Sus scrofa: one gene and its partners. The protein of the gene in region 1 purifies or fractionates together with the protein of each later gene. This does not show direct contact. Links are inferred from orthologs where the notes say so. Each region holds a gene or a part of one and is shown in the gene's direction. Other genes may lie near its edges.

The links.
Region 2: the proteins of MED4 (region 1) and CDK8 purify together in Homo sapiens (affinity purification with mass spectrometry; 9 studies listed by BioGRID and IntAct, counting the BioPlex papers as one, with this or other methods). This does not show direct contact. The link is inferred for Sus scrofa from reciprocal best matches to the Homo sapiens genes MED4 and CDK8.
Region 3: the proteins of MED4 (region 1) and IFT20 purify together in Homo sapiens (affinity purification with mass spectrometry; 3 studies listed by BioGRID and IntAct, with this or other methods). This does not show direct contact. The link is inferred for Sus scrofa from reciprocal best matches to the Homo sapiens genes MED4 and IFT20.
Region 4: the proteins of MED4 (region 1) and GIT1 purify together in Homo sapiens (affinity purification with mass spectrometry; 3 studies listed by BioGRID and IntAct, with this or other methods). This does not show direct contact. The link is inferred for Sus scrofa from reciprocal best matches to the Homo sapiens genes MED4 and GIT1.
Region 5: the proteins of MED4 (region 1) and MED12L purify together in Homo sapiens (affinity purification with mass spectrometry; 3 studies listed by BioGRID and IntAct, with this or other methods). This does not show direct contact. The link is inferred for Sus scrofa from reciprocal best matches to the Homo sapiens genes MED4 and MED12L.
Region 6: the proteins of MED4 (region 1) and CCDC138 purify together in Homo sapiens (affinity purification with mass spectrometry; 3 studies listed by BioGRID and IntAct, with this or other methods). This does not show direct contact. The link is inferred for Sus scrofa from reciprocal best matches to the Homo sapiens genes MED4 and CCDC138.
Region 7: the proteins of MED4 (region 1) and POLR2B purify together in Homo sapiens (affinity purification with mass spectrometry; 3 studies listed by BioGRID and IntAct, with this or other methods). This does not show direct contact. The link is inferred for Sus scrofa from reciprocal best matches to the Homo sapiens genes MED4 and POLR2B.

Annotation. Positions count from the first base shown.
Region 1 is NC_010453.5:19,564,371-19,567,693, forward strand, and holds the end of MED4 (mediator of RNA polymerase II transcription subunit 4), read left to right. Parts: coding exon 1-30; intron 31-1,881; coding exon 1,882-2,054; 3' UTR 2,055-2,545; downstream 2,546-3,323. UniProt on the Homo sapiens protein: Component of the Mediator complex, a coactivator involved in the regulated transcription of nearly all RNA polymerase II-dependent genes.
Region 2 is NC_010453.5:4,154,995-4,158,818, forward strand, and holds part of CDK8 (cyclin-dependent kinase 8), read left to right. Parts: intron 1-1,801; coding exon 1,802-1,899; intron 1,900-2,961; coding exon 2,962-3,040; intron 3,041-3,164; coding exon 3,165-3,323; intron 3,324-3,824.
Region 3 is NC_010454.4:44,613,639-44,618,178, reverse strand, and holds the start of IFT20 (intraflagellar transport protein 20 homolog), read left to right. Parts: upstream 1-1,495; 5' UTR 1,496-1,646; intron 1,647-4,474; 5' UTR 4,475-4,540. UniProt on the Homo sapiens protein: Part of intraflagellar transport (IFT) particles involved in ciliary process assembly. May play a role in the trafficking of ciliary membrane proteins from the Golgi complex to the cilium.
Region 4 is NC_010454.4:45,780,709-45,785,477, reverse strand, and holds the start of GIT1 (ARF GTPase-activating protein GIT1), read left to right. Parts: upstream 1-1,860; 5' UTR 1,861-1,981; coding exon 1,982-2,033; intron 2,034-4,769. UniProt on the Homo sapiens protein: GTPase-activating protein for ADP ribosylation factor family members, including ARF1.
Region 5 is NC_010455.5:91,564,916-91,568,959, forward strand, and holds part of MED12L (mediator of RNA polymerase II transcription subunit 12-like protein), read left to right. Parts: intron 1-109; coding exon 110-271; intron 272-2,220; coding exon 2,221-2,332; intron 2,333-4,044. UniProt on the Homo sapiens protein: May be a component of the Mediator complex, a coactivator involved in the regulated transcription of nearly all RNA polymerase II-dependent genes.
Region 6 is NC_010445.4:47,501,442-47,505,485, forward strand, and holds part of CCDC138 (coiled-coil domain-containing protein 138), read left to right. Parts: intron 1-1,643; coding exon 1,644-1,836; intron 1,837-4,044.
Region 7 is NC_010450.4:56,256,611-56,260,654, forward strand, and holds part of POLR2B (DNA-directed RNA polymerase II subunit RPB2), read left to right. Parts: intron 1-588; coding exon 589-732; intron 733-967; coding exon 968-1,107; intron 1,108-1,201; coding exon 1,202-1,313; intron 1,314-4,044. UniProt on the Homo sapiens protein: Catalytic core component of RNA polymerase II (Pol II), a DNA-dependent RNA polymerase which synthesizes mRNA precursors and many functional non-coding RNAs using the four ribonucleoside triphosphates as substrates.

The DNA of each region.
Region 1 (3,323 bases):
GAGACGCACTTGCAGCAGGCAGGCTGCCAGGTAAGTTACCAGAATAAGGCTTTCACACTTGTTTTTGTAGACGTCATGATGACGACAGATATACGGCTGTTGAACAAGTTTGAGGGTCTGGACCCAGCTCATTTTAGTAGCTAGGTTCTCCAACTGCTCTCTACTTTCTAACAGCTTAAAGATTGTTCAAAATGGAGGTTATTATGAAGTTAGAAGAAACTGAATTTTTTTCTCATTTATTAATGTGTCATTTTCCTCCGGCATTAGACTTCTCAGTAACTAAGCCCTAAACTTAGCTTTTTAAAATGAAACATGCTTTATAAACAGAGTAAGATGTATGTTCAGTTTAAAGAATACCAAGTGAACACTCTTATGAATAACCCTCAAATTAACAAAGTGAATAACAAAGCTTTTTATGGACTTTTTTGTAACTAAATAGAATGTCATTTTTGTGAGACTCATACTGAGCTTCACCCTTCCTCAGGCTTCACATACAGGTTTGTACTGTTGTTATATTTTACGTTCCCTATCTTTCTTTTTTTTTTTGGCGACTTGTTTTATTTTTGACCTGGCAGAATATTTTTAAAGTTTTTTTTAAAACCATGAAAAAATTGCTTTTTTGAGCAATTACTTTTAGTATTTTACATATTTCGTTTATTCCCGTTTTTTGTTTGTTATTTCTTTTAGGGCCACACCTGTGGCATATGGAGTTTCCCAGGGGTCTAGCGGCTGGTCCACACGCACAGATCTGAGCTGTGTCTGTGACCTACACCACAGCTTATGGCAATGCCAGATCCTTAACCTGCTGAGCAAGGCCAGGGAACGAACAAGCAACCTCATGGTTCCTAGTTGGATTCGTTTCCACTGTGCCATGACGGGAACTCCCCCCTGTATTTTTAACGTTGTTATAAATGCTCTAGATAATGCATGACATTTCATTGTAAGGCTGTCCCTCTGTTACTAAAAATGCTTTTTATAAGCACCATTTTTGTTAATTATTCAAGGTGTAAACTGAGAACTCATTGGGCATTAGTTTCCCTTGGAATCACATTTTTCATTGTGACTATACCGTATCATATGACATAAGCCACTCACAATCCAGGCAGGAGGCAGAAACCACACTAGCAATATGAACAAGGAGAATTTAAAGAATTACTGACTAGTAACAATACACTAACTACTGGATGGTAAAGAGAACTGTATTTTTTTGGTCTGTTTTTAGGGCTGCATTTGGAGCATTTAGCAGCATATGGAGGTTCCCAGGCTAGGGGTTGAATCTGAGCTGTAGCTGCTGGCCTATACCACAGCCGTACCAGATCTGAGCTGAGTCTGCGACCTACACCACAGCTCACAGCAACACTGAATCCTTAACCCACTGAGTGAGGCCAGGGATTGAACCTGTATCCTCATGGATACTAGTCAGATTCGTTTTCTCTGGGCCATGACGGGAACTCCAAGAACTGTATTTTTCAAATGCAGTAATAATAGATACAGGGCCCCTTTTTTAGTATAGTACATATATTAGCTGTTTATATCACGAGGGAATATATGGAGAGTAGTATATATGACCTATTATATGTGCTTAAATATATACAGACATATGAAATATTTGGAAATTGTGAATGTCTTGTAAAAGGAAAATTAATGGCAGTTGACTATGAATAGTGGCTATAGTAAAGTGTGATTTAAAAAAAAATAAACAGATTGTGGTTACTAAAACATCACATTTTTCCTTGATATATTTGATCTTTCATTAATTTGGTCAAATGTGTATTTAGACTTCAGCCTTAAAAATTTACTTCATTTTATTTGCATGAAGGAAAGAGTAACTAAGAAGTAAATTGAGTTGAAATGTTCTCACATGGGCTTTCTTTTCTTCAGATGTTCTTGCCCCCCAGTATCCGTGGCAGTCAAATGATATGGCAATGAATATGTTACCACCAAATCACAGTAATGACTTTTTGTTGGAGCCTCCAGGGCACAATAAAGAAAATGAAGATGACGTAGAGGTCATGTCAACAGACTCCTCAAGCAGTAGCAGTGACTCTGATTAAAGAAAATGTGACAAAAAAAGCATACAGAATTGAATATTATAGAAATCGGCTTCTTAAACAGCAGCAAACCTTTAAAAGCCAGGTGATACTGTAGTGAAAGTGTGCCATCGTTAAAAATTATTGTGGACTTTTTGAAGCCAAAAATCATGGTTTCGTTTCTGAACCACTAGGGGAATAGAGAAAAACAAAATTTACCGTTGGAATAAAAAGATTAGTCAGTTCAGTGCCATCTTAGTTGGAGTTGTACATAGTAGTTCTGGAAATAAGATTTGAGGGACATGACCCATGTACATCACTAATAGACCTCTTGTTATTATGAAAAGCGTAAACAAAAGGCAGTAGATCGCTGAAAATGCAACATAGCTCAGAGTAACAGAAAACTCATTTGAAAGTGAAGGCTGTTAGCTTTTGTCACAGGAGAACTTGCCTCAATTTGTACTGTTTGTAATTACTGTATTTTTTGTAAATAAATACACTTGTTTGGAATTTTACCACTGTATCTCAAATCAAATTGTTGTGTACATGCTTACCTGGTTATCTGTACATCTTTATAACCACTCATCCAAAACCCTTGGGTCTCAATGTTTCCTAGAATTTGGGTTTTAAAAAATACTCTGGGAGTTCCTGTTGTGGCTCAGTGGAAAGGAATCTAACTAGGAACTATGAAGTTGCGGGTTTGATCCCTGGCTTCATTCAGTGGGTTAAGCATCTGGTGGTGTTGTGAGTTGTGGTGTAGGTTGCAGTTGCAGCTCAGATCTGACATTGCTGTGGTATAGGCCAATGGCTACAGCTCTGATTAGACCCATAGCTGGGAACTTCCACATGCAGCCCTAAAAAGCAAAAAAAAAAAAAAACTCTGGAAAGTTAACAGGAGATATATATATCGTATGTTATATAATGAAGAGTCATCTTATAAATTAAGCACATTTAACTTTCATATTCAGGTATATTTCACATACACATTATTTTTTTTTCCTGTCTGCTCTGGCATAGGGAAGTTCCCAGGCTAGGGGTCAAATTGGAGCTGCAGCTGAGGCCTACACCACAGCCACAGCAACACTGGATCTGAGCCGTTATCTGCAACTTACACCACAGCTTACAGAAACACTGGGTCCTTAACCCATTAAGAGAGGCCAGGGATTGAACCTGTATCCTCATGGACACTAGTTAGGTTCTTAATCTGCTGAGCCACAATGGGAACTCTAGAAATACAGATTACTGTAAAAAGGAACTAGGAACTACAAAGAGAAACCAAGAAAAACTGGAAAA
Region 2 (3,824 bases), about 15 Mb from region 1:
ATTGTAGTAGTGGCGGACCAGAAGTCACAATTTAGGGGAATTTTTTTACACCGCCACCCAGTTCACTGCTGCTCAGTTTAGTCTGAGGCGACTTTGACCGCTACCACTGAAATTCTAGAGCAAGGCTTCCTTTATTGCATATTTGCTTGTTTTTACCAGGGTGACAGGTCTTGGGTGGTCTCGTCTGAAAGCTCTAATACAATTGCTTTAAACCTCTTGAGTACATTAAATAGCAAATCTGTGTTTTTCCTTTCAATCTCAAAATAAAATTGTGCTTCCACGGAAATATCAGCTCATTTAAATTAAAGTCTCACCATCCCAGCATTTCATCTGCATTTTAAAATATTCCACCTCCTTCTGTTTTCTAATTGTGTCATCTCTCATGGTCTCACATGTCTCCTAGTTTCTTGGTTTCCATAGCGTGGTCCTAGCCCAGCAGCACCGCAGTCACCTGGGCAACGCTGCAAGTGCAGGTGCTTGGCTCCTGCCCAGATGTGCTGCTCAGCAGCTCCGGAGTCACTAGGAAGTGCTCCGGGGACGCCTCCGATGTGCTTCAAGTCTGAAAGTGCTGCGTGTTAGGCCAGAGGTGGTGGGCTGAGGGCGCACCTGTTAGAGGGCCTCTTAAGTCACACGTTAAAGGCTCTCGTTCCTAGAATCCTCAGTCCCTCATATTTCAACGAAAAAGTGCTGAATTTTGACATTAGTTTCACCTTTCGGTATCTCATTACAACAACAGTAATAATACCAACACCTAGAGAGCGCGTTCCCCACGCCTGGCACCACTGTAATTGCTTTTCGTCATTCTGAAAAGAAACATGATAAAAGGTACTGTTTCTAAGCTCCATTTGGCAAATGGGGTTACAGAGGGCTTAAGTAATTTGTTCACAGTCACCCGACTCATAAATGTCAGGTCAGGATTTGAGGCCAAGCAGCGTCTCTGCAGAGTCCCCGCCGATAGCACCTGGCCTTGCTGCACAGGTTCTGTACCGGGTGCCGTGTTTACATAGCCCCGGGCGGCAGTGCCAGAGATGGCTGTCTGAGAGCCGTGCTGTTGGGAGGGTAGCCGCTGAGCTCTGGAAATACACCTGATATGACTGAGAAATTGACTTTTTTTTTTTTTTTTTAATTAAGAAAAAAATTTTTTTCTAGGGCCACAACTGCGGCTTATGGAAGTTCCCAGGCTAGGGGTTGAATAAGAGCTGTAGCCGCCGGCCTCCACCACAGCCACATCATCTCGGGATCCGAGCTGCGTCTGCGACCTACACCACAGCTCACGGCAACGCCGGATCCTTCACCCACTGAGCAAGGCCAGGGATTGAACCTGTGTCCTTATGGCTACTAGTTGGGTTTGTTTCCACTGCGCCACATGGGAACTCTGAAAAATTGACTTTTTAAATTTAACTTGGTTTTAATTAATTTGGTTTTAACTCTAAATAGCCACATGTAGCTAGTTTATTCTTTGGGGTATAATGTTTTCCCCTTAGTAGAAAACACAGGCATTTTGGTCCTGTTCTAAATTGGACGTGGCAGTTCAGATGGTGTAGGAAAAAGGTCTTGGTTGAGAGTAAGAAGACGTATGTTTAGTTACTTCTTATAGGAGAACCGGGTGAGCTGATGATTATTAAAATGACTCGTGTGAATGACTACATGAAATTGAAAGGTTTTTAGTTTTTAACTGGGGGGAATGAAACCCTCTGAACTGTGGTGTTATTGATCAAAAACCGTGTACCTCCCACAAATGTGCCAAAAGGTAAAACTTTGAGAAGTAATGCAGTGATGTTTTTATGATTTATGGTTTCAGCTTCAGAAATTGCTTACCATGGACCCAATAAAGCGAATTACCTCAGAACAGGCTATGCAGGATCCCTATTTCTTAGAAGACCCACTTCCTACATCAGAGTAAGTGATCAGTTTATTAACTCACCAGCACAATAGAATTTTTTGGTGCGTGCTTTTTTTTTTTTTCTTTTTTAAAGCCACTTCTGTGGCATATGAAAATTCCTGGGCCCAGGCTCAAACCCATGCCACAGCAGCGCGGGCACTGCATCCTCAGCCCACTGTGCCGCCAGGGAGCTAGCTCTTGGTGCGTGCTTTTTTTTAGCTGTCAATGCCAGGTTGCTGCTGCTCTTGTTCGGGGACTCAAAGAAATCCTTATGACAAGCAGAAAACGAGCTGGTGACTGAGAGCCGTCAGGCTTTTACAGCGGAGAGACGCTGCTGCCCTGCTTGCTGCCCGCGGCCGGTGGCGGCGGTAGTCGAGGGCGGGCTGCTCCCACGCACTGGCACTCCCTGGGGCTCTGAGCCGGCGCACTGCTTGCACTTAGTTCTGTGTCCCAGTTGCAAGCCCCACCCCAAAGAAGTGTGTGGTCCCCATACATTCCTTCTTTTTTTTTTTTTTTTTTTCCGTCTTTTTGCCTTTTCTAGGGCCGCACCTGCAGCATACGGAAGTTCCCAGGCTAGGGGTCCAGTCGGAGCTGTAGCTGCCAGCCTGCACCACAGCCACAGCAACATGGGATCCGAGCCACATCTGCAACCTACACCACAGCTCACAGCAACGCCAGATCCTTAACCCACTGAGCGAGGCCGGGGATTGAACCCGTGTCCTCATGGATCCTAGTCGGGGTGGTTAACCACCGAGCCACGGTGGGATCTCCCATTTCGTGCATTTTGGATGCAGTCTGGAGGGTAGAATGCAGTTTTGTTGAGTCATGACATTCCAGCTGCGATCTCTGCCTTGGTTGTGGTGCTGAAGGAGCAGTGCCGACATAAAGGAGAGCCGAGGCCCTTTGGATGGTGCCTGGGGGTGCCGGTGCTTTTGTTCAGTCACTGGTTGGGAGAAGACACGCACTGCCTCGCGGCTGCACCGGCAGGGAGGCGGAGGCTGTCTGAACGGTGAAAGCGCGTTTGAGACGCTGATCAGCGCGCCGGAAATCGTTGTTGTCTCTTCTCTTTCCTGGGTCAGCGTTTTTGCCGGTTGTCAGATCCCGTACCCTAAAAGAGAGTTTTTAACGGAGGAAGAGCCCGAGGACAAAGGAGACAAAGTAAGTGTCAGGGTGCGGGGCGGCTTCGTGCGTTTCTGCTGGGGTGCCGCCTGCCTTCTGCGGCCGCGGCCGCGGTTTGCTCCCCTCTGAGTTGCTCTCTCTCTTTCCGTTTCACCAAATTGAGAAGAACCAGCAGCAGCAGCAGGGCAATAACCACACTAATGGGACTGGCCACCCCGGGAACCAGGACAGCAGCCACACGCAGGGCCCCCCGTTGAAGAAAGTGCGGGTTGTTCCTCCTACCACTACCTCAGGCGGACTCATCATGACCTCAGACTATCAGGTACGGCCGCCCGCAGCCCTGCATGGGGGTGGTGGCCCCGGGGCCGCGGCGGCAGGAGCACAGCGCCAGCCTCTGCTGCTCGGGAGACGTTGGCCTGGGGGGTTGCTGGCCTGCAAAGCGCCAGGCGGTTCTGTCGAGGAGGCTTAGCCAGGCGTGGAACGGTCGGACCGAACGGCGCCCCTGTTAACCCGGTGGCCTCGGTCAGGTCCTAGACAGGGCCTGGCTTTGGCGTCTCCTCCGGAGCACGAGCCGCGGGAAGCCACGTGGGGGCGGGTGGGCCTCAGCGCCCAGCGTCCAGGAGGTGCCCAGGAAGTGCCGTCTGTCGTCTGAAACCACGGCAGCTAGGGACGCGGTTAGGCCTGTGGGCAGCCTTGAGTGGGAGGCTGGGGCCCTCGGCTCCCGCGTTGGTAGGATGCGGTTGGTGGTAGGTGGTAGGTGAGGCTGTGGTCGGGTTAGAGGAGAGGGCGCGAGCCGGCCTGGCAGGCGTTTGCTGGATGATCA
Region 3 (4,540 bases), on another chromosome or scaffold:
GCGATCATTCTGCTGCTGTGAGGAGAATGGATTGTAGGGTGCAGACGGAGGAAGAGTTGGCAAGAGAGGATGAAGACCTGGACTACAGTGGTGGTGATGGAGTCAGAAAAAAAAAAGTGAAATGACTTCATCATCATCTCCTCTAAGTCTAACCCAGAAATGTGCTTAGCAGAATGCTATGCACATTCTGAAGTATTTAATATGTCAGTGTGTTAGACTGAAATTGTCCCTGAAAAGATTTAGGTAGGTCCCTGTGAAGAGAGTCCAAGGAAGCGCCAGAGCAGGTGCTGTATGAAATGCCGAATTCCTCTGGTGGCTGGTTCAGTAGGGATGAGATGAGCCCCCACCAGCGGATTGCCCAATCAGTAAGTAAACCTGAATGGTATGAGGTCACCTTACCTTCCTCCGCCCACCCCAAAGGAATAAATCCACCCCTTAACAGCGGCTGCCAACAGAGGAAGACAAATCCAAGCTAATCTCTTCTTTTTCCTACAAAGCAATTGCTTTGAGCCCATGGATGACATCAGCCCAGATTCCACCCGCTCAGATTCCGCCCAGGCCAATGGGTTCCTGGAATCCTGTGGCAGGTGACGCCCCAGAAAGTAATTCCAGTGAGAATGAAGTTTCCACTGAGAGCCTCAGTGCTCTTCCTTCCGGACTTTGTGTGTGGGTATTTGGGGATGCTAGGGGCGTATCCGTGTCACGCTCGGTGAAGCTAATGGGAACCCAAGCCGAATAAAGGCCAAACAAACAAGGCGGTGATAGAAGTGGGGTCCTAAGGAAAGAAGGTCCGAGAAACCCATCACACGGAGCATGGCGAGAGGAGGAGCCGATCCCCTACAGAGGGGGGAATCTAGCAGAAATCCAAGGGTGTAAATCCAAGCGTGTAAATCTCATGCTTCAGCCAAAGGGTTTGGGGAAATTTAGCGAGACTCAACCTCTCTGTGGCCACTGTAGAGTCTTCCTCAACCCGTACCCCGCCTCACCACCGAGAAACCGAGACCGGCTCTAACACCCACCCAAAGGATTTGAGATCTCCACCTCCCTTCGCCGTCCCACGCCTTTTCCCCAGGACCGGGTAGGGTTCTCTTGGCTCAGCCCAGGACCCGTCCATCCCTTCCCCTAGGGCATGGGCAGACTCGGCTCTCACCCTCCCTGGTGGCGCTTCTCCTCTCAGCTGGGTTGCAAGTCGACACCGCGCCGCCCCTAGACCACCGCTTGCCCGCCAGCAATCTCGGGCGGTAAACTCACATTCACCACCCCCGGACTCCGCCCCCAGGCGGCCAGGGCCTGAGACTGTGAGGCCGGGCAGACATAGCACCCAATCAGGGCGGAGGGAGGAGCCCCCAAGAGTATTCCGCAGCGAGCGTACACCTACTTCAGGCCGACTTTCCGGCGCAAAGACCTCTGGGTCTTGTAGGCAGCCATCCCTCTTCCCAGGCCTCTGTCTCCCAGCATGCTCTGCCAGCTGGATGGGTGTAAGTGCTTCCTGTGCCCGGAAGTGACGTTAGGCGTAAACAGGTCTTGTAGCCGTGGCAGCGGCTGAGGCAAGCTGGCTGGCTGGGTACCGGCTGCCCTGACGCGAGAGGGGAGTTGCCTGCGGACCTCAGCCTGAGCCGCAGGCGCTGCCGCTGCGGGGTGGACAGGTAGGCTGTGACTTCGGGTCGGGGATGGGCCCGGGGCAGGAAGAGCCTGACAGGCCCGCGCCCCGAGGAAAAGCAGTCCCAGGGCGAAAGAAATGTGGGAATTCCTCCCGACTCTGGGAGCGGTTTTACCCGGGCTTGGGCCTCGAGCTTTTCGCTCTGACGCTCGCAACCCTCCTAGGAGGAAACTGCGGCTCAGATAAGTTCAAGGAGTTTACGTAGTGAAGACAACCAGCCCCATCACCCAGCTTTTCCTAACTTTCTCCACACCGCGCGGGTGGAGGTAGCGGCCAGCGTAGAGCCAGAGCCAGGGTGGTGGTGGGGATGGTGGGGGGACGAGAGCGCGACGTCCTTCTCATCTTCAGGGAACTCAATTCGGCCTTTATACCCAGTGTTCCTCAGATGAGCGTGCGGTGGGAGTTGGGAGAGAATCCGGTAGTCGGCTGCGAACCCTCTCTCTCCACTTCTTCAGGCCCGATCCATCTCATTCAACCATCCCTTCCAACCATACATCTGGCTCAAGCCAGATGCATGGGAATCTTACCTGACTCTCCTTCACTCCTCTCCAAACCCCTACTTTCATTCATCCTTTACTAAGTCCTATCAACTCGACTTTACCAAACAATTCGGAACACTTTCCTTCAGCTCCAAGCCTTGGTTACTGTAATAGCCTGCTCTGGTGTTTTTGTTTTTCTTGCCTCTTTTTAGGGCCGCACTCGCCGCATATGGAGATTCCCAGGCTAGGGGCTGAATCGAAGCTACAGCTGCCGGCCTACACCACAGCCACACCAGATCGGATCTGCCACCTACACCACAGCTCACCTCAACACGTGGGATCCTTAACCCAATGAGAGGGGCCAGGGATCTAACCCTCAACCTCATGGTTCCTAGTCAGATTGGTTTCTGCTGCGCCACAATGGGAACTCCTAGCCTGCTCTGTTTTAGCAGTCATTCATACCACAAACATTTGCTGAGTGCAAGTTCTATGCAGGCACTATGCTAGATGCTAGGGTAGCAGTGATGAACAAATAGGAGTAGCCCCATCTCTTTTCCCCCCCAGCTCGTTCTCCATCCTGGGTCATTGATCTCCAAAATAGCCACATTTGATGATGCCAGTCTGCTTAGAATCCTCTGGCTACCTTTATGAGAAAATGTAGGCTCAATACCGCAGCTTTCAGAGCCCTTCATCATCCAGTGCTAGCCTCCCCATCTTGCCCCATCTCATTCTCTCCCCCTTGCTCAGTGTTTCAACCATACTAGCCTTTCAGCTTGTGGAACACGTTAAATTTTTTACAGCCTCAGAGTCTTCCAGTCTTCACACAAGCTTTCCCTTCTGCCTGGAATACCTCCTCCTTGCTTCAGTTGGCAAGCTTTTGAACATCCTTTAGGTCTCATTTTAAGTGTCACTTCTTTTCTTTCTATGGCTGCACCTGTGACATATGGAAGTTCCCAGAGCTAGGGGTGGAATCCGAGCTGCAGCTGAGGCCTATGCCTGCAGCCATGGCAACATGGGATCCAGGCTGCATCTGTGATCCCATTGCTGGGGATCCTTAACTCACTGAGCAAGGCCAGGGGTCGAACCTGCAACCTCACAGAGACAACGTCAGGTTCTTAACCCGCTGAGCCACAACAGGAACTCCCAAATGTCACATTTTAGAAGAATTTTGTGTATAAATTTTTATGTAATTTTGTTTACATATGAATTATGTCCTCCTGCTATGGCTTCACATAGCAACATGTGCTTTTCCTCATACCATGATCACAGTTTGTGATTGGACCGTCTGTCCAGAGGTCAGAAACTAAAGAATTAAGGCATTTTCTTCACTCCTTTATCCCCAGAGCAGGGACTCAGTAGATGTTTGTGAATAAATCCACGCTCTTAGAAGGGAGTGGAAGTGGAAGCACCTTTGTGCGCGCAGATTACTTGAAGCTTTCTAGAGCAGCTGGTCTGGTAAATCACCTGTTAGGTGTTAGTGTTCAGACTATATGTGTAACTAGGACAAATGGGGAGACAGTTCTTTTTATTTTTATTTATTTTTTTAATGTGCTTCTCTCAGCGCCTTTCACCAGACCTTGACTTGTGTTGTGGTCTAAGCAAAACTGAGCTTCCTATTCTAACATCTTTTGTTACATATTTAAGATAAGTTTACAGTTCCTAATGGAATTCCTGTCGTGGCGCAGTGGTTAACGAATCCGACTAGGAACCATGAGGTTGAGGGTTCGATCCCTGGCCTTGCTCAGTGGGTTAAGGATCCAGCATTGCTGTGAGCTGTGGTGTAGGTTGCAGATGTGGCTCAGATCCTGCGTTGCTATGGCTCTTGTGTAGGCCAGCAGATACAGCTCCGATTGGACCCCTATCCTGGGAACTTCCATATGCCGCGGGAGTGGCCCTAGAAAAGGCAAAAAGACAAAAAAAAAGGTGACAGTGCTTTTTAAAAAGCCCAATTATAAGGAAGCTTTGGATGATTAAAATGTTTTAAAGGGAAGATGCTAGCTTACTTACTTGAGTGGATTCCAGTGAGGCTAAAGGCTCTGGACCACAGTCGTGTACAGCCAGACGCGTATAAGTTGGACCACACGGTGTTGGATGTGTTTTTCCCTCCCTTACTTAAACTTTTTGAATTAGAAGGAAATCAGTGTTTCCTACCCAGAAAGTTGAGGCATCTTTTGGACCAGGAATTCAGGGTGCCCTGGAAAGGTAGAAGATATCTCTGTTGGTTCCCTTGCTTCCGGGAAAAAAAAACCCAAACTCTTTAACTTAGCATAGAGGGTCTTTCTGATCTGGTTCCATCAAGCTTTCCAGCTTCATCCTCTGTCCTTTCATCTTCTAGGCCCGATAGGCCCTTCCAGTGGCTTCATGCTCTTGTCCAGGCTGTTTTCTCTGCTCGGAATGCCTT
Region 4 (4,769 bases), on another chromosome or scaffold:
TGCGCGCTCTCTAGCTGCCACGTGCTCGAGACGCGCCCACACAGCAGAGAAACAAAGACAGTCGAGCTATGGGGCTGCCAGCAGCCGCCTCGACATTTAATAAATGAAATTCCATAGCTGGGGGTCGATCGGGGGTGAACGGGCGGCCACCGCTCAAGGGCTGTGCGGTGTGTGTGTGTGTGTGTGTGTGTGTGTGTGTGTATACGCGCGCGCGTGCCTCCTGGCCGTTCCTCCCATCGCCAGGGGTGGGACCACCAACTCGGCGGACGGACTCCTGAGGGTGGGGGGTGCAGCACCGGGCGGCAGGTGGTGCCCCCCCCCCCCCACCGCGAGGTATCTTTGCTCCCAGAAGCCCTGCAAGCTGAACGGCTGGCTACGGGGGGGGAGGGGAAGACTGCAAGGAGATTTTTTTAAGGTGCGATTATAAATATACCCCGTGGATCGCGATTTCAAACAAACTTGTCAATCTGGGCTGCAGAGAAAGGCGATGGAGGCAGCTTTGCATGTATTTCGGGTGGTGTGACTCATGAGCATTACTTGTCTCCCCCAGGGAAGCAGCCTGCCCACCCACAAGTCACTGCTGCTCTGGCACCGCTGGTTTAAAATCAACCAACTCCTGCACCCCTGCCCAAGGACTCGCCTCCTACCCCCACCCCTTGTTACTAAGCAGGACTCCCCGCCTGCCACTGGGGAACCCTCCTTTAATCGTGTCACCACTTCATCAGGACCCATTGGGCCTGGGCCTTAGCACCCCTGCCCTCTCTCCACAAACCCAGCGCTTTAGCCTTTCTTGCTGCAAGATGGGGGTTGGGTGCACGTGGGGCACACGTGTATGGGGGAGCATGCTCAGTGCTGGGGTGCACCCACGTGTGGCCTGCTGCCTCCTCTCCCTGTCCCCCATCCTCCAACGAGTCTCTGTGTGAAGTCCAGGAGGAAAAACCACCGCAAAAAAGGCCCCTGTATGTTATATGCTTGTGCCCTGGACACGCAGACTTCCCGTGGCTCAGAAACACCAATGATGTATGCAAGACCGATGCCAAGTGGGTATTACTGTACACAGGCACAGTGGTCACTGCTCAGGAGGTCTTCAAAAACAGTCCACACTCTTTCATTTCTGGATGGAAGCCGGGAGGAGGGATAGATGTTTATTCAGCTCGGAGGCAGGGGTATACACTGCATGACCTCTGGCACTTGGGCGTCCATATTGTTGGCGGTGTGCGTAGTCAACAAGAGTGTGACCACACAAACACCTGGACACACAGATGTGAACACACAGCGGACCAGGACGCACAACTCACCCCAAACAGAGACAGGAACGTTACCCCGAACCACAGCCTCTGGATGAGGAGGGGGGCCTGGGCCTTCAGCTCCTTACTCTCTTCTTTGATCCCCAGGGGTCACTGTCCCTGGGCTCAAGCTCCCCGGGCCAGCTTCCGTCTCAGTGAAGGGGATGGGGCTGTGGGGCTAGCTCGCACAGCCTCAGGGACAGGGGCGCGCCGGAGCCCAGTGCAGGGCGCAGGCGACGCTGCAGCGCGGGCCCGGCGGCGGCGGCGGCGGCCGCGGCCCCTTTAAACGCCCCCACCCCCTCCCGCCCGCGCTCCCGGCTTCCTTTCTCCGGGAGGCGCGGCCGGCAGGGCCCGGCGGTGGGGCGGGTGTGCAGGCTGCCCCTCCCCCGGTGGGCCGGGCCTGCGCCGCTTCCTGCAGGAGCGGCCGAGAGCCGCGCAGGGGGCGGAGAGAGCGAGCGGCGAGCGGCGGCGGGGCGGCGCGGGGCGGCGCGGGGCGGAGGGCGCCCGAGGGCGAGCGGGCGGGCGGGCACGGCGGGTTCCGGGCCAGCCCCGGGGGCGGACGGTTGGCCGGGCGCGCGGAGCCTAGCCGGGGCCTTGCCGGAGCCGGGCCGGGCAGCAGGGGCCGCCGCCGCCCGGGCCCGCCGCCCGCGCCCCCCACGCTGGCCCAGAGGGCTGCGGCCGCGTCGCCGCTGAGGATGTCCCGGAAGGGGCCGCGAGCGGAGGTGTGTGCGGACTGCAGCGCCCCGGGTAAGCGGGGCCGGGCCGGGGGCGGGACCGCGCACCGAGGCGCCGCCGGGCGGGCGCCGGGGCCTGGCGGGAGCGCCGTGCGGGGCCGGAGGGCGGGGCGGGGCTGGGGGCTGCGGCCTCCGGCCTCGGCCCCCGCCCCGGCCGCTGCCGAGCCTCGTCCTTGGCGGGAGGGCCGTCCTGGGGGCCCCAGTTTCCTCGTGTCCGTGGACAAGCGAGAAAGGACATTCCCGGCGCCGCCTCCCACCCCTCAGTCAGAGGGAGGCGGGCAGCTGGCTGCACCCCCCGCTTCCATCTCATATCCAAACGGAAGCGCCAGCCTGGGGTGGCAGGAGGGCTGTGGCGAGGCCGGTCGGGGTTTAGGAGGTGGGGGCGAGTGAGGTTTTGTGTCATCTCAGTGCCACCCCCGCGTCTTGCACCTGCTGCTCGCATGGTCTGCACGCCCGCTGGGGTGGCGGAGGGCAAGGGGCAGAGAGCTGGGCAGATGGGCTAGGGGGGGTCTGGATACTGTTTCCTCTGGAGCATTTGACGGGGTGGCTACTCCTAGGACTCCTTGCCCCTGGCTCCCAAGGCTGGGGCCCTTTGCAGGGCCTGGTGTTCAGGGCCACTTGAGCCTGGGCATCTTCCCCTGAGGCGTCCCCAGGCCTGATGACTGGAAACGAGATTCAGCTTCCCCTGTGCTCCAGTAAGGCCTGCTTGGAAGGTGGGCTTGGCATTGCCCCAACCTGAGCACAGACCCCTTGCCATCTCCTAGGCCAGTCTGGTCAGAAATGGGTGGGGAGCAGTGCCAAGGGGTGCCTAGATTCCTGAGATTCACCTGGCTTCCTGGCCTGCCTTCTGGCTGTAGTCGCCGTGGTTTTTCTCTTATTCCCAGCAGAGTCAGGTCCAGGTGAAACCCCTTGACCTGCTGAGGGAGTGAGAAGCAGTGACCTGGAGAGGATGCTTCCTTCTGATGTGGGAGGACGCTGCCGGTGATGGGGCTCAGCATCTGGCCCGGGGAAGGAAGCCCTGGCCCTTGACCGGCCTCTCTTTTTATAAAAGGAGCTATCTTGCTGGGAGACCGGGTGGACTCAGGGAGGGGGGACTATGGGCGCAATTAAGCATGAGTGTGGGGTGTTGTTTTGTGTGCCCATAACTTCCAGCCACCCTTTGGAGAGGTCCAGGACCCCCAACAGGTTGAGAGCAACAGACGCTCTGGTGGTTCTGATGTCTCCAAGCTAGAGTGTTTGGGAACTGTGGGTGCCTGGCAGAGGCATGGTAGTCTGGGTAGTCATGACCCTGAGGCCTCCTCTCAGGGCATGTTAGGGTCCAGAGTGCCCCCAAGAAGCTATGGGGGAGGAGGTGGGTCATCCGACCTTACCCCTGATGAGTTAGAAACTACTATCTCCTTCCCCCAAATGCAGGCAGGTCTGGGGATGGAAGGGCTAAGAGGAGAACTTGTTTTCTCAGTGCCTGTCCCAGGCCGCCCTTTTGCATCTCTGCTGGACACACGTCACAGTGGGGGTGGGAAGGGCAAGTAAGAGTGGGAGGGGGTGCTTAGTAGATATCTTATCAGGGGAGCCTGGATTTTGGTGTTGCCTTTGTTTCCAGCTTACTCTGACTCATGGCAAGACTTTTCCCCCTCAGGGTCTCAGGTTCCTCAACTCTGAGGTAAAGAAGTTGGAATAGAAATGGTTTTTAAGATCTATCCAGAAGTTCCTGCTATGGCTCAGTGGTTAACAGATCCGACTAGGAATCACAAGGTTGCGGGTTCAATCCCTGCCCTCGCCAAGTGGGTTAAGGATCCAGCCGCTCAGATCTGGCGTTGCTATGGCTCTGGCGTAGGCTGGTGGCTACAGTTCCGATTAGACCCCTAGCCTTGGAACCTCCATATGCTGTGGGTGAGGCCCTAGAAAAAGACCAAAAAAAAAAAAAACTATCCTATCTCCAAAGTCTGTGGTCCTGATTCTGGACCTGGGGGACACAGGCAGCATTATCAAGGCAGTTGTCCTTTCTCCATTGCTTTTGACCATTTGGCTGAAGTCTCTAGATGCTCAGCGGGCATAGGGAGGAGTGGTATGTATCTGGTGTGTTGGGGTGCCCAACCCAGCTCGTACCCCAAGTCCTCATCCCACAGAGACCTTTTGTGCTCCTGGTACTACCTTTTCCCCTGATCCAGAATACAGGTCAGGAAGAGGCAGGTGGTATGGTGGGCAGGGTGCCATCAAAGTCTTCTTCATCACCCAACCCCTGCACCTAGCATGCTGTCTGGTAGGCATTCCCTAAGGGTCTGGATGCTTCTCAGGACCTCAGCTGACTTTTTAGGGGCACCTGCACCCTATGATGCATGGGGTGGCATTCTCAGTCTGGGACCTATAGCAGCTTAGGTAAGAGGCTTGAGGGAAACCAACAGTCTGGAGCCCAGGCCCAGAGCCACCTCCTTGGAATATGCTTCCTACCCAAAGTCATAAGCTTCTCACTGTAATAGGAGCCCTGCAATCTGCCCTAGGAGTGGGGTTGTGGCCCTTTTGTGGTTGGTTAATTTGCAGGGTCATGGAGCTGAAAAGTAAGGTGCAGCCTGACCCCAAAGGGCTCTGTCCTTTCTCTCCTCCCAGGCCTGGACACACAGGGAACAGCTGTGAGGCAGCTGGGCATGGCATGGCTGGTCTGGCAGCTGGTGCCACCTCGTCAGGCACCATCTGTGTCCCTTCCTACCTTGGGAATCCAGGAGAGGGACAGGGGTCAGGGAACCCTGGAGAA
Region 5 (4,044 bases), on another chromosome or scaffold:
TAATCGGTGTATCTTGTGCCTAAAAGTCTTGCTTTGGAGTTTTGGTTATAATGGTGAGAGCAGAGCAGAAGTTTGCCTCCTTGGGTATAACACCTGTTTCTGATTTTAGTTCCTCTGAACGCAGGGGTGTATGGCTGGTGGCCCCCCTAATTGCCAGGCTGCCAACTTCTGTGCAGGGAAGAGTGTTGAAAGCTGCTGGGGAGGAGCTGGAGAAGGGACAGCACTTGGGTTCTTCTTCCAAAAAGGAGAGAGACAGACAAAAACAGAAAAGGTATGGCTGCTATAGGTGTTTCTATGTGAGTGTTTAAAGAACAGTTGAGAGAATCCAGTATCCTACAGATATACATCCTTGTTGTACCCAGAGTCTACTGAAATTTCATCTTTATATGAAATTGAAAATATTCTATTAGGCAAAGCTCTGTTTCCTAAAAGATTTCGCATTATAATACTCAGTACACTAGCTCTCCCTTCTGCCTCTGTACCCTAATCACTGCTGTGCTGTTAAAGGCTTTTTAGCCCCACTTCAGACCTACTGAATCAGCTTTGGATATCCACTTCATCCTGTATTCAACAGGTTGTTTTTTTTTTTTTTTTTCTTATTATTTAGGTACTTAGGTTTAAAATTCATGCAATTATTTATAATTCTATCATGCTGGACCCTGAAATAGTTACTAATATTTTTAACATTTAGGGCTCTTGTTCTAGACTACACACACATTAACTTATAAGCCTCCAAGTCAAAAATTTTTTTTAAAATTTTATGCCCTAGAAAATGTTTCATATAATTATTTTGGAAAACTGACCATGTTACTGAGAAAGAACAAAAATATGCTCTAATGTGAAAGCATGTTAAATTTAGCACACCAGGAGTGAGAAGAAATTTCTAATGTTAAAAAACAAAAATTCCGATCATACAGATTTCTTGTCACCTAATTAATAGTATTTCAGTAGTTGCCATTTAATGATCCCTTATAAAATGTCAACCTATGTACCAAACTCATTATATGCATATGTGAACTTTTAAAATCTCACAGCAATCGTATTGTGGTAGATGCTCTCATTATATCCTTTTTATAGGTAAAGAAACTGAGGCACTGAAAGGTTAAGTAAATTTCTCAAGGACACATAGCTAAAGAGGTGTAAAGTTGGGATTGAAACCCAGGTGGTCTGGCCTCTGAGTCTGTGCTCTTAACTAAAGTACATTTTGTTATTTGACATAGCTTTGTGTGTATGTTGTTTGGTATCTGGTTGTTCTGTCATCTTTGCCCATATTTGTTAACCAGTGAAGTGACACAGTTTTAATTCTCAAAGTTTATCTGCTAATGGGCGATGGCATGTACTTCGCCTCACTTCCTGCAGGGAGAGCAGATGGAATTGCAGAGTTTAAAGATGGCTCTTCCCAAGCTAATCTCTCTTGGCTATGCTGGTGTAAGATGAAGCAGATTGAAACATTATGACCTCCATCTCATTTTAAGGAATTTTCTTTTCCAGTGTAGCAAAATTAGTTTATCAGCATGATTTGTCAGTTGTTCCTGATCATGGAAGAAAAAAATGCTAAAATGCCAATTTAAAATGGAGTTTTTCCCCCCAAATGTCTTTAAACTCCTTTACACGTTAAGCCTGTGGGATGTGGCAGAGTACTGGGGATCACTAGCAAGCATACTGGTTTGGAGTCCTCCTTGGAGGAGTAGATGCTAATTTTAGCTCTACCAATACCCAGCTATTTGGTCTTGAGAAATGTGCTATAAATAAATAAATAAATAAATAAGCACAGAAATCATATAAGGCCTATTTCCTGGACCCTAAAATAGTAATACTAAGTGACAGAAATTTAAAATTTTTTCATTTTTCTGTGTATGAAGTGATATTCCTCCTGATGTGTATCTTTTAATTCAGTTTACTGATAGAAACTGCAAAGTCTCTTCTTCTTGTTCCCCCTCCCCCCATACGCACTCATATGTGGTATGAATTTATGCTAATTTGGAAATGCCTTTCAGGGCAAGAAAACATATTAAATCTAGAAGCATTACAGTGGCTTTTTAATCTTATTAGTTAGAGATATGATTTAACTTTTCAAGTAGTCTTGGCTATTTACTACTCCCCTCCCTTTTCTAATAGTAAAATAAATAAGAGCCGATAACGCGAGGGCAAGAAATAAGTGTTGCACAGAAAGTAATCCATTCTTTCTAACTAGATCTCCTGTTATTACTTCCTTCGTAGTATGTCTCTTTTGAGTCAACAACCATTCCTCTCACTGGTCCTTACCTGCCTGAAGGGACAGGATGAACAACGAGAAGGCCTCCTAACATCGCTGCAGAATCAAGTTAACCAGGTAAAGTGCAGTAGAATACTAAGCCAGGCAAGTATGGTTCTAATGGCATTCATTTGTTTTCCTTTCAAACAAACTGACATTAAACTCATAAGAGTGCAATGTGTTTTGCTTAGATGCAGGAAAACAATTCCCACCCTGTTCTCCTACCTGTGTTCTTATCACCATGAGATGAATAGCAGTATAATATTAATTATGTGTTGGATAAATGTCTGTATACAAGTAACATTCTGCATATTGCACATAACTTTGTTACAAAGTTGTTGCTCCTCTCCTGCCCCTGCCTCCTGGGAAAGGTCCTAGAGGAATCAATATTGAAGGAGGCCTGGCAGTAAGACAAAAGGACCTCTTGCCAGGTCCTCCGTTGGGCTTCCACTTATCAGGAAGGGTCTCAGAGTGAGCTCTGTAAGTTCAGAAACTCATCTTAATTTTACTGCTAGAGCCAGACTGTTGCTGGTCAAGTGTACAAGATACTCATTTATGAATCAGAAGCCATTCTGGTTCATTTTCAAAGACTTTTTGAATTTTGCCTTTGCACCATCCACAGTTCTGATTACGATTTAGAGCACAGGTATTCTGTGTACCACAAGGAAACTGAGTGATCAAATTGGAATTTGAAAGTATAGAATGGAGCAGAGTGGATAGATTGGTCATCTGGCATGTTTTATCCAGCTGTAGAGCCTAATGGAGTCTATGTGGGACTATGATTTCAGTGACACAGTGTCTTTTCCTTGAACAGTTCTGGATGAACACGAACAAGATACTTAACTTCTTGGGGATCTCTTGTCATCTGCTACCTTCTGGATATGTGAAATCTATTCTCTATATAGTAGGCAGAATGATTGTTTTTAAGTGTAAATCACAAATTTTTCCAGTGCTCCAAATGCTGCAGTGTTTCTTACTATTCCTAGAATAATAATTCCCAGTCTGAGCCTATAAGCCCCTCCACAATTTGGCACCAGCTCCAACCTCTACCTGGTTTCCTGGCAGTCATGGGTCTGCTCATTCTACTCTTTTCACAGTGGCCATGTTGCTGTTCCATGAACTTGCCAAGCAAATTCTCACTGCAGAGTCTTAGAATCTTTTCTCCCCTCCCAGGGCAGCTCCTTCACTTCCTCAGGTCTCTGCTCAGATGTCACTTCCCTAGGTGCGCCATCCCACTCCCTCATGCTCTAAAAGTAGGACCAGTCATTGTCTGTCCCCTGGTTCATGCCGCTTGTTCCACTTATTTTTATTTGCCTGATACCAGAATGTCAGCTCCATGATACTTTGTGCATTTTGCTAACTACCTTTCCCCGTTTACCTGCCTTGGGGGAGGTGCATCCCTATCTTTTGACAAGATTTGGGAAGTGCTCTCCTTTAACCTCGCAGTGACTTACAAGTCATCTCTTGGGCTCGGTTACTTCTGCAAGTGATTCATTCAGCTCTTTTAAGATGATTCTCCTTAAGTGCCATATTTCAGGGCATGGCAGTGAGGCTTTGGTTTGTTTTTGCTCATGTCAGCTGATTGTGGGTGTTCCCTACTTGTGGTTCACCTTCCCTAAGCAACCTTTCCTTTTCTCCAACAATGGTGTGAAACAATGAGGAAGCACTTACTTAATAAATTAATATGCCACTTGACTGATATGCAAGATGTCACATTTTTCAAAATGGTTCACCTTTATCAAGGAAGACAAGGTTATCGGCTAGCAAGCTTCCCCTTCAATGAAACATCA
Region 6 (4,044 bases), on another chromosome or scaffold:
TTGGCGCTGTATCTGAAACGTGCTCGCTGTACCCCAGGTGCTGGTGTGTCTTTTGGAAAACTGACCCTTTGTCACCTGTGCTGCCTTCCTTCCCTGGGGACTTTCCCTGCCCTGAGGCCTGTTTTGCTGAAATGCGGTTGGCTCTGCCCACTTTCTTGGGGTTACTGTCAGCGTGGTCAGTCTGTCTATACATGCACTGTTAAGCTGTGTGTGTCTTTACGTTTAAGTGGGGTTTTTGTGGACAGGGTGTAGGGGTCTCATATTTTGATTTACTCTGACATTCTCTCTAAGTTGGTTTGTTTTGCCTATTGCAATTTAGAGTGATTATTGATATCAGTGCCAGCTTTCTGTTTGATAAATTGTTCTTTGTTTCTTCCACTTGTCTTCCTTCTGTCATCTTTTTACACTGAGGCTTGAAAGCACAAATGTATTATCTTTTCCAAACGGTATCAGAACCTCATGGGCAAGACGTTTAAATGAGACTGCACTGCTTGTGCTGCTCACCACCACGTCCTTTGGCCTTTGAGACCCTAAGATCTCAGTAGGTCTGTCTCTAATTTTCTGCAGAGGTTCCGAAGCTGATGGTCATTATCCATGCTGCCTGAGCAGTGCTGGTTTGGATACCAGTTAGTTAAAAGTCATAAGATGGGGCAACCGTCACATAACTCAGGGGTGTGGGTCGGAGAACTGGTTCTGATAAGGGGTATAAGTCACGTCTGAGCCTGGCTTAAGTGCCCTCATGGGTAGCTGTGTGCACGGTTTTCTTGGGTTGGCTTCTTAGGGATGTGTGGAACACAGCAGGAGCCTGTGTTGCTCTAGAGGCATCATATGCCATCATTTCTGTTTTGCTCACTTTCTTGTTTTAGTTTATTCAACATGAGAATTTATCCGTGATTCTAAAGCAGTATTTTGTTTTTCTGAAATCATTAAAATTTATCAAAATCATCGTGACATTTAGTCTTTCTGAGCCGTAGAGCAGCAAGGCCCTGGATGACCACTGTACAAGCTGCACCCCGAGGGCCCTGTATCAGCAGCGGGGCGTGTGGGGGGCAGGGGCCCCCTGGGTCTTCTGACTGCTCTGTGCCCGAGGTCTGCCATGATCCGCTCTTAAATGCTTTGAAATTGAATCTTGCCTTAGTTCTTCTCTAATTTCCTTCTTAGGAAATTACCGTTTTTAATTCCTTAATTCTAACCATTTCTTTAGAGAAAGATGTAGTCATACACCTTTTTTTCTTTTTATTTTTAAGGCTGCACCCATGGCATATGGAGATTCCCAGGCTAGGGGTTGAATGGGAGCCATTGCTATAGTTGCTGGCCTATACCACAGCCACAGCCACGCCAGATCTGAGCCTCATCTGCGGCAATTACGGATCCTTAACCCACTGAGTGAGGTCAGAGATGGAACTGGCATCCTCATGAATACAGGTTGGGTTCTTAAACCACTGAGCCACAATAGGAACTCTCAGTTTTTAAGTTGATTATAAAATTAATCTTTCCAGTCTTGCATATTTTCAACTACATTTAATTTTTTTTACTTAGCAAAAGATTGATTTATTTTTAGTTTATATATTTGATTATGGTATTTAAGAAATATATTTTCTGAACATGAATAAGTGTACTAAGATAGTGCATATTTTTAACAGCATTCGACTATGACATCAACATTGAGGAGATTAGGTGAAGATATATTCAAAGGAGTGGTGACTAAAGGAATTCAGGGTAATTCTTCAGAACATTCTGTGGAGAATAAACCAAAGACAGCTGCTTTCTTTAAGAGCTCCAGTTTACCGTTGAGATTTCCATCAACTTTAATTGTTCTCAAAACAGTCACTCAAGGTAAGCTTTCAGATGTGCTTCTGGTCTAATTTCTTATAAACAATTAGAAGAGAACTCTGAAATGAGGCAGTTCTTTCATAGATAAATATGTTTTGCCTTTTCAGAATGAGCTTTTAAGTTGTTTAAATTGGTGGCACATTATCAAAACCGACTCTAATGGATGAATTAGAGAAGATGAGTGGTGGACCAGATTGTTGCCCTTCCCAGAAGCCTTTGTTGATTTTCTTAGATCGTGTTACCATAGCAGCCTTTGCTCTCACTGTCGTTGCATTTACCATGTGGTCCTGACCCGCCAGAGCAGGTGTTGGCAAACTATAGCCTGTGGGCCAGACCTGGTTTGTAACACATCTCGTTTGTTTCCTGTTGTCTCTTGTCACCTCACAAGGACAGAGCTGAGTGTCGGCAGCAGAGACAGCATAGCTCCAGAGCCTGTGATGTTCTGACATGGCCCCTGCTCTGGTGTGTGAGCTCACTGCCTTGTTGCCATTGTGTCTTTTGTGCCTGGCGTGGGGCTCGAGGTCTGCTAGTGAACAAGGAAATGAAGGACTCAAAAATGTTTCCATCAGAGCTGGCCGTTTTAGTACAGTTCTGATACACTGCTGTAAGTAGCTGTCTTGTGGATTAGTATTTGTGAGGCTTTGTGTGAAGGGAGGTGACAGCTGTGTAGTCTTTCTACCTTCCTTCTGTGTTGACTGTGTAACTCATTCTGGTGGGTTTGTAAGTGGGCAGTGGCAACAGGCTAATTTGATGACTTACTCTGAAGTACAGGCTCTTTGGCTATTCTTGATTGTAGGGATTTTAAGGGGAAAAAAAAAAAAAAACCAAACCATGACTCTGCCTGAGTTGTTTTCTTCCTTATGGTTGTGGTTCCCAAAGTTATAACAGGTGGGGTGGTAACTGGTTGACAGGCCGAGTGTGAGAAGGGACTATCAGCCCAGCCCAGAGTGCACCACGGCAGCGTGTGATCAGGTGTGATCTTCGTCTCTGCCAAGGCTGATGGGATGGAGAGAGGAATGGGCGCTAGTGTGCACAGGGGCACACGCTGCCCTCTGCAGGCAGTCCCGGATGAGTGGAGGAGGAGCAGAGCATTCATGGACAAGGAAAGTGGCTGAGCAGTTTGTGGATTCTAATGTGCTGTGGCCTCACTGTCTGTATCCCCTCTGAATTCACCTGTGAGGCGCTAACCTGCGCAGGTACGTCAGGAAGTTGGGCCTGGGGAGGCACTTAGGTCAGGGGGTGGGGCCCTGGGGAATGGGAGGGGGCCCTGAAAGCGACCCCACAGAGCACCCCACCCTCACCATGTGAGGACACGGCACGGCAGGAGGAGGGCTCTCACCAGCATCCAAGCCGCCAGCCCCTCGACCTCAAACTTGGGGCCTCCAGAAGGGCCAACATTAAATTTCTGTTGTTTGTAAGCCACCCAGTCTCAGGCATTTTGTTACAGCAGACTGAATGTGTGTTTCAGAAAATGAAACTAATGTGTTTCAGAAAATGAACTCCAGAAGAAATTACAGAAATCTGTTGATTTTTGACTACTACGATGACTGCTGCAACCAGAGTGTAACTAAACTACTGTGACCTGAGTGTAACTACCATTTTTTACAATCACTATTAAGTAGCTGTAATGCATGAAAAAAGAAATCTTGTTCACATAAGCAAAACAAAGTATGTAGGAGTTCCTGCTGTGGCATAGTGGGTTAAGAATCCGATTATAGGGAGTTTCAGTGGTGGCTAAGCAGATACAAATCCTACTAGTATCCATGAGGATGCAGATTCAATCCCTGACCTCACCTCATGGGTTAAGGATCCGGTGTTTTTGTGAGCTGTGGCATGGGTTGGCAGTTGTAGCTCCAGTTTGACCCCAAGCCTGGGAACTTCCATATGCTGCAGGTGTGGCCTTCAGAGAAGAAAAAAGGAATCCGACTGCTACAGCAGCTCATGTCACTTCAGAGGTGCTGGTTTGATCCCCAGCCCTGTGCAGTGGGTTAAAGGATCCAGTGTTGCTGCAGCTGCAATGCAGGTCTCAACTGTGGCTTGGATTCAATCCCTGGCCCAGGAATTTCCATATGCTGCAGGTTCAGCTATTAAAAAAAACAGTAACAACAAAGTAAAATGTGGGTACTAAGCTAACATGGTATCTGAAGAACCTCATCCATTGTGAAAGATAACAGGACATGAGTAAAGATTTGGTAAATAGTGGGCGAATGA
Region 7 (4,044 bases), on another chromosome or scaffold:
GGGCCAGGAGAGCGGTGGCTTATTACCAGGTACACTGCGTCTGTGTTGGTGGCTTTATGTCCCTCTCTCTCTGTGTTGCCTTTCTTCTAAGTGTTACTTTGCTTAATATTCTCTAAGTATTGATTCTCCTGTTGGATTCAGAGGCTTTAGCCCAGGAAAGGTTCTGGGATGGATTAGTCTGCCATGCACAAGGCCTGTGAGTTGGTCGCATTTAACACTTAGTGCCCAGTGCATGCCAAGTACTGTTCTAGGTACTGGGACACAGCAGAGAACAAAACAAACAAATAAGAAAGCCCCACTCCTGTGGGACTGATACCATCATGGCTGGAGAGAGACCATGAGCGTTTATGTGCTGTGGTAGATGTGTATGTCATGCGTTTGCCATCCTGCTGTAAGGGTCGGTGAGGTTCCCAGGGTGAACAGGACCTCCCAGGGCAGGACAGGGAAGAGAAGGGAGGGATGGGAGAGGTGGACACTAAGTGGATCATATGTCAAAATGCCTTTGCCTTGTTCTAGTATTTGCCAGAAATGTGATCGTGTGAGTAACAGAAGTGCCCAAACGTTATAAAGATTCGCTTTGTTTTCTAGGTATTAAACCGCCTGACTTTTGCATCTACTCTTTCTCACCTTCGTCGTTTAAACTCTCCCATTGGTAGAGACGGCAAACTAGCGAAACCAAGGCAGTTGCACAATACATTGTGGGGAATGGTGTGTCCTGCTGAGACCCCAGAGGTAATGTGCTCGCATTTGTATCCCAGACAGAAAGTCTGAGAGGGGTTATGTTAGGATATAATTACTTTAGAAGTAAATTTTAATTTAATTACGTAGTATATTTTAGAACCAAAATATTATTTATATTTTTGTTCTTAGGAAGTAAGAGTACATCCTGAAGGACAAATATTTATGGAGAGAATTTTGATAGGCATGTTAAATCACTGTGACTAATATGTACTTTACTTATCCCAAGGGCCACGCTGTAGGACTTGTGAAGAATTTAGCCCTGATGGCTTATATTTCAGTTGGATCTCAACCTTCTCCAATTCTAGAGTTTTTAGAAGAATGGAGTATGGAAAATTTAGAAGAAATTTCTCCTGCAGCTATTGCTGAGTGCGTATAGATACAATTCTTTAGACACTGTTGTTAGCCTTTGGTTATTGCTTAGAGTTATTAAGTGCAAAATGCCTTTGGTTTTGCATTTTAGTGCAACCAAGATCTTTGTTAATGGCTGCTGGGTCGGAATACATAAAGATCCTGAACAACTGATGAACACTCTAAGGAAACTGCGGCGCCAGATGGACATCATCGTGTCTGAAGTAAGAGTCTTGAATTAACCAAGAGGGTGTGATCTGTGGGATTTCCAAACAAGGCACAAGACTAGTGAAAGTTATCTTTGCATTGGTATCTTTCTTGAATGAATTTCTTTTCCTTTTAATTGTTAAGTTTATTGTCAAAAGTCTAGGTGATATTTAGAGCTAAATTTAAGTGTAAGGTATTGCTTGCTTTAATGCCTTAGATATGCATCTAAAATTTTGATGGGTAATATAAGTTATTAAATTACACTTTAGAATTCAAATTACATTTTAAAGTAAAAAATTCTTTTGAGAATCTTTTTGTAAAGCTGACAGTATTACTTTTTTGATTATTATTTTTTAATTACTCAATGAATTTATTACATTTATAGTTGTACAGTGATCATCACAATCCAGTTTTATAGTATTTCCATCCCACACCCCCAGCGCATCCTCCTACCCCACAAACTGTCTCCTTTGGAAACCACAATTTTTTTAAAGTCTGTGAGTCAGTATCTGTTCTGCAAAGAAGTTCATTGTGACAGTAATGCTTTTAAAAGGCATGATCAGCTCTGATTTCTCCTTTGTCTGACTCCAAAGATTCATTCATGCAATGCGGTTGACTTTTATCAGATTCTCTTAGATTTTGGTGGGTGCTGACATCCTCTGGATTAGGGTGGATTTTTTTTTTTTTCTTTTTTTCTTTTTATGGCCATACCTGCAGCACATGGAAGTGCCCATGCCGGGGGAATCCAAGCTGCAGCTGTGGCCTACACCTCAGCCATGTCAACATGGTATTTGAACTGCATCTGTGATCGACACCACAGTTTATGGTAACATTGTATCCTTAACACACTGGCGAGACCAGGGATTGAACCTCCATCCTCAGAGAGACAACATCAAGTCCTTAACTTGCTGAGCCACAATGGGCATTCTTGGATTTTTTTCTTTTTTTTAATCATTAAAATGTAGCGTGAGCTTTATTTTTCCCCCAGATAGGGCTTTTGCTCTTAGGGCACTGCCTTGAGGGATAGGGCTCAGGCTTTTGATTCTCCTAAAGCTACACCTTGGGGTCTGTCTAGGTGAAAGTGGGTCAGGAGAGGAAACTGTAGCACACTTAGGCTGGCCTCCTGTCTACATGGCAAAGTAGAGAACTGAGGTTCGGCTGCTCCAGGCCTTCCTCAAGTGGGCAGACCCGGGGTTTCTCGTGGGTGTATTCGTAGCTTGAAGTCAGCAACAGGATGCCTCACTTGGGGGTGGGCAGGGCTGCGAGAAACCCTAAGAATCAACAGCGGCTGTGTTTTTGTAACTGAGAACCTGGTTCATGCCATGTGTATCTGCTGAGAGCTGCCTCTAGCTTTTCTGTGTTCTCTAGAGTAAATTTAAATTTTTTATGTTGTTTTAGGGCTCTTTCCCTTAATGGGCCCCTCTCTCAGCCTGGAATGCCTTTGCTCTCTGTCACCCATACCTCCTGAAAAATGGGCAAGAGAAAAGGGTGCCGATTACCGTTTTTAGGTAAATGTCACTAATTCTGCTGAGTTCTAGTAGTAACTCATCACCTTCAGGGTGTTTTACCTGGCCCCTCAGTTTGATTTTGATTAGAGATCGATAGACATTTTCTTTGAAGGGCTAAAGATTCAATGTTTTAGGCTTTGTTTACCTTACAGTGTCTGTTGTACATTCAGCTCTGCTGTTGAGAAAAGTAGCCATAGACAATTCATAAACCAGTAAAACTTTATTTACAAAAATAGATAGCAGGCGAAGGCGGATTTGGCCTGTAGCCTATTTGCTGAGCTCTTGATTTAGATATTTGTGACCATATGTAGCATAATTTCCTTAAAAAGTAGAATGCTTGAGTTCCCTTTGTGGCTCAGCAGGTTACAAACCCAGCTAGTATACTTGAGGATGCAGGTTCGATCCCATGCCTTGCTCAGTGGGTTAGGGATCTGGCTTTGCTGTGAGCTGCGGTGTAGGTCACAGATGGAGTTTGAATGTGGCTGTGGCTGTGGTGTAGGCCAGCACCTGCAGCTCTGATTTGACCCTTAGTCTGGGAGCTTCCTTATGCTGCAGGTTAGCCCTAAAAAAGAAAAAAGAATGCTTATCTCAGGTAGTAACTATTGATTTATTTGCCTCTCTCATTCACCACGGTGTTAACTTCTCAGCAGCATGGAAAGTGTCTTTATAGGGCTTTTTGTATTTTCAGTTCTGAACACGGTGCTTGACGTGTAGTGTCTGACAAGGAGTGAGTGTTGAACCTATAAATGGACCCTGTGTCTTTCAATTAGGTTCTTTAATCTTCCACTGGAAATGGAGTTGGAAACCTCTAAGTGGGAGCATTGTGTATATTTTTCAGGAGTCTCCTACTTTTTCTTTACCTTCCTATTTTCTGATAACCAGAGGTCACCATGTTACCCATTTCTGACTTTCGCCTCAGTTTGGACCTATCAGGCTCCTGTCATCAGTCCTTCAAGAAGACCTATTTTCTTTGGTATTCTTTTTTTTTTTTTTTTTTTTTTAATTTATTTATTTATTTATTTTTTTGTCTTTTTTTGTTGTTGTGTTGTTGCTATTTCTTGGGCCGCTCCCACGGCATATGGAGGTTCCCAGGCTAGGGGTCGAATCGGAGCTGTAGCCACCGGCCTACGCCAGAGCCACAGCAATGCAGGATCCAAGCCGCGTCTGCAACCTACACCAGAGCTCACGGCAACGCCGGATCGTTAACCCACTGAGCAAGGACAGGGGCCGAACCCGCAAC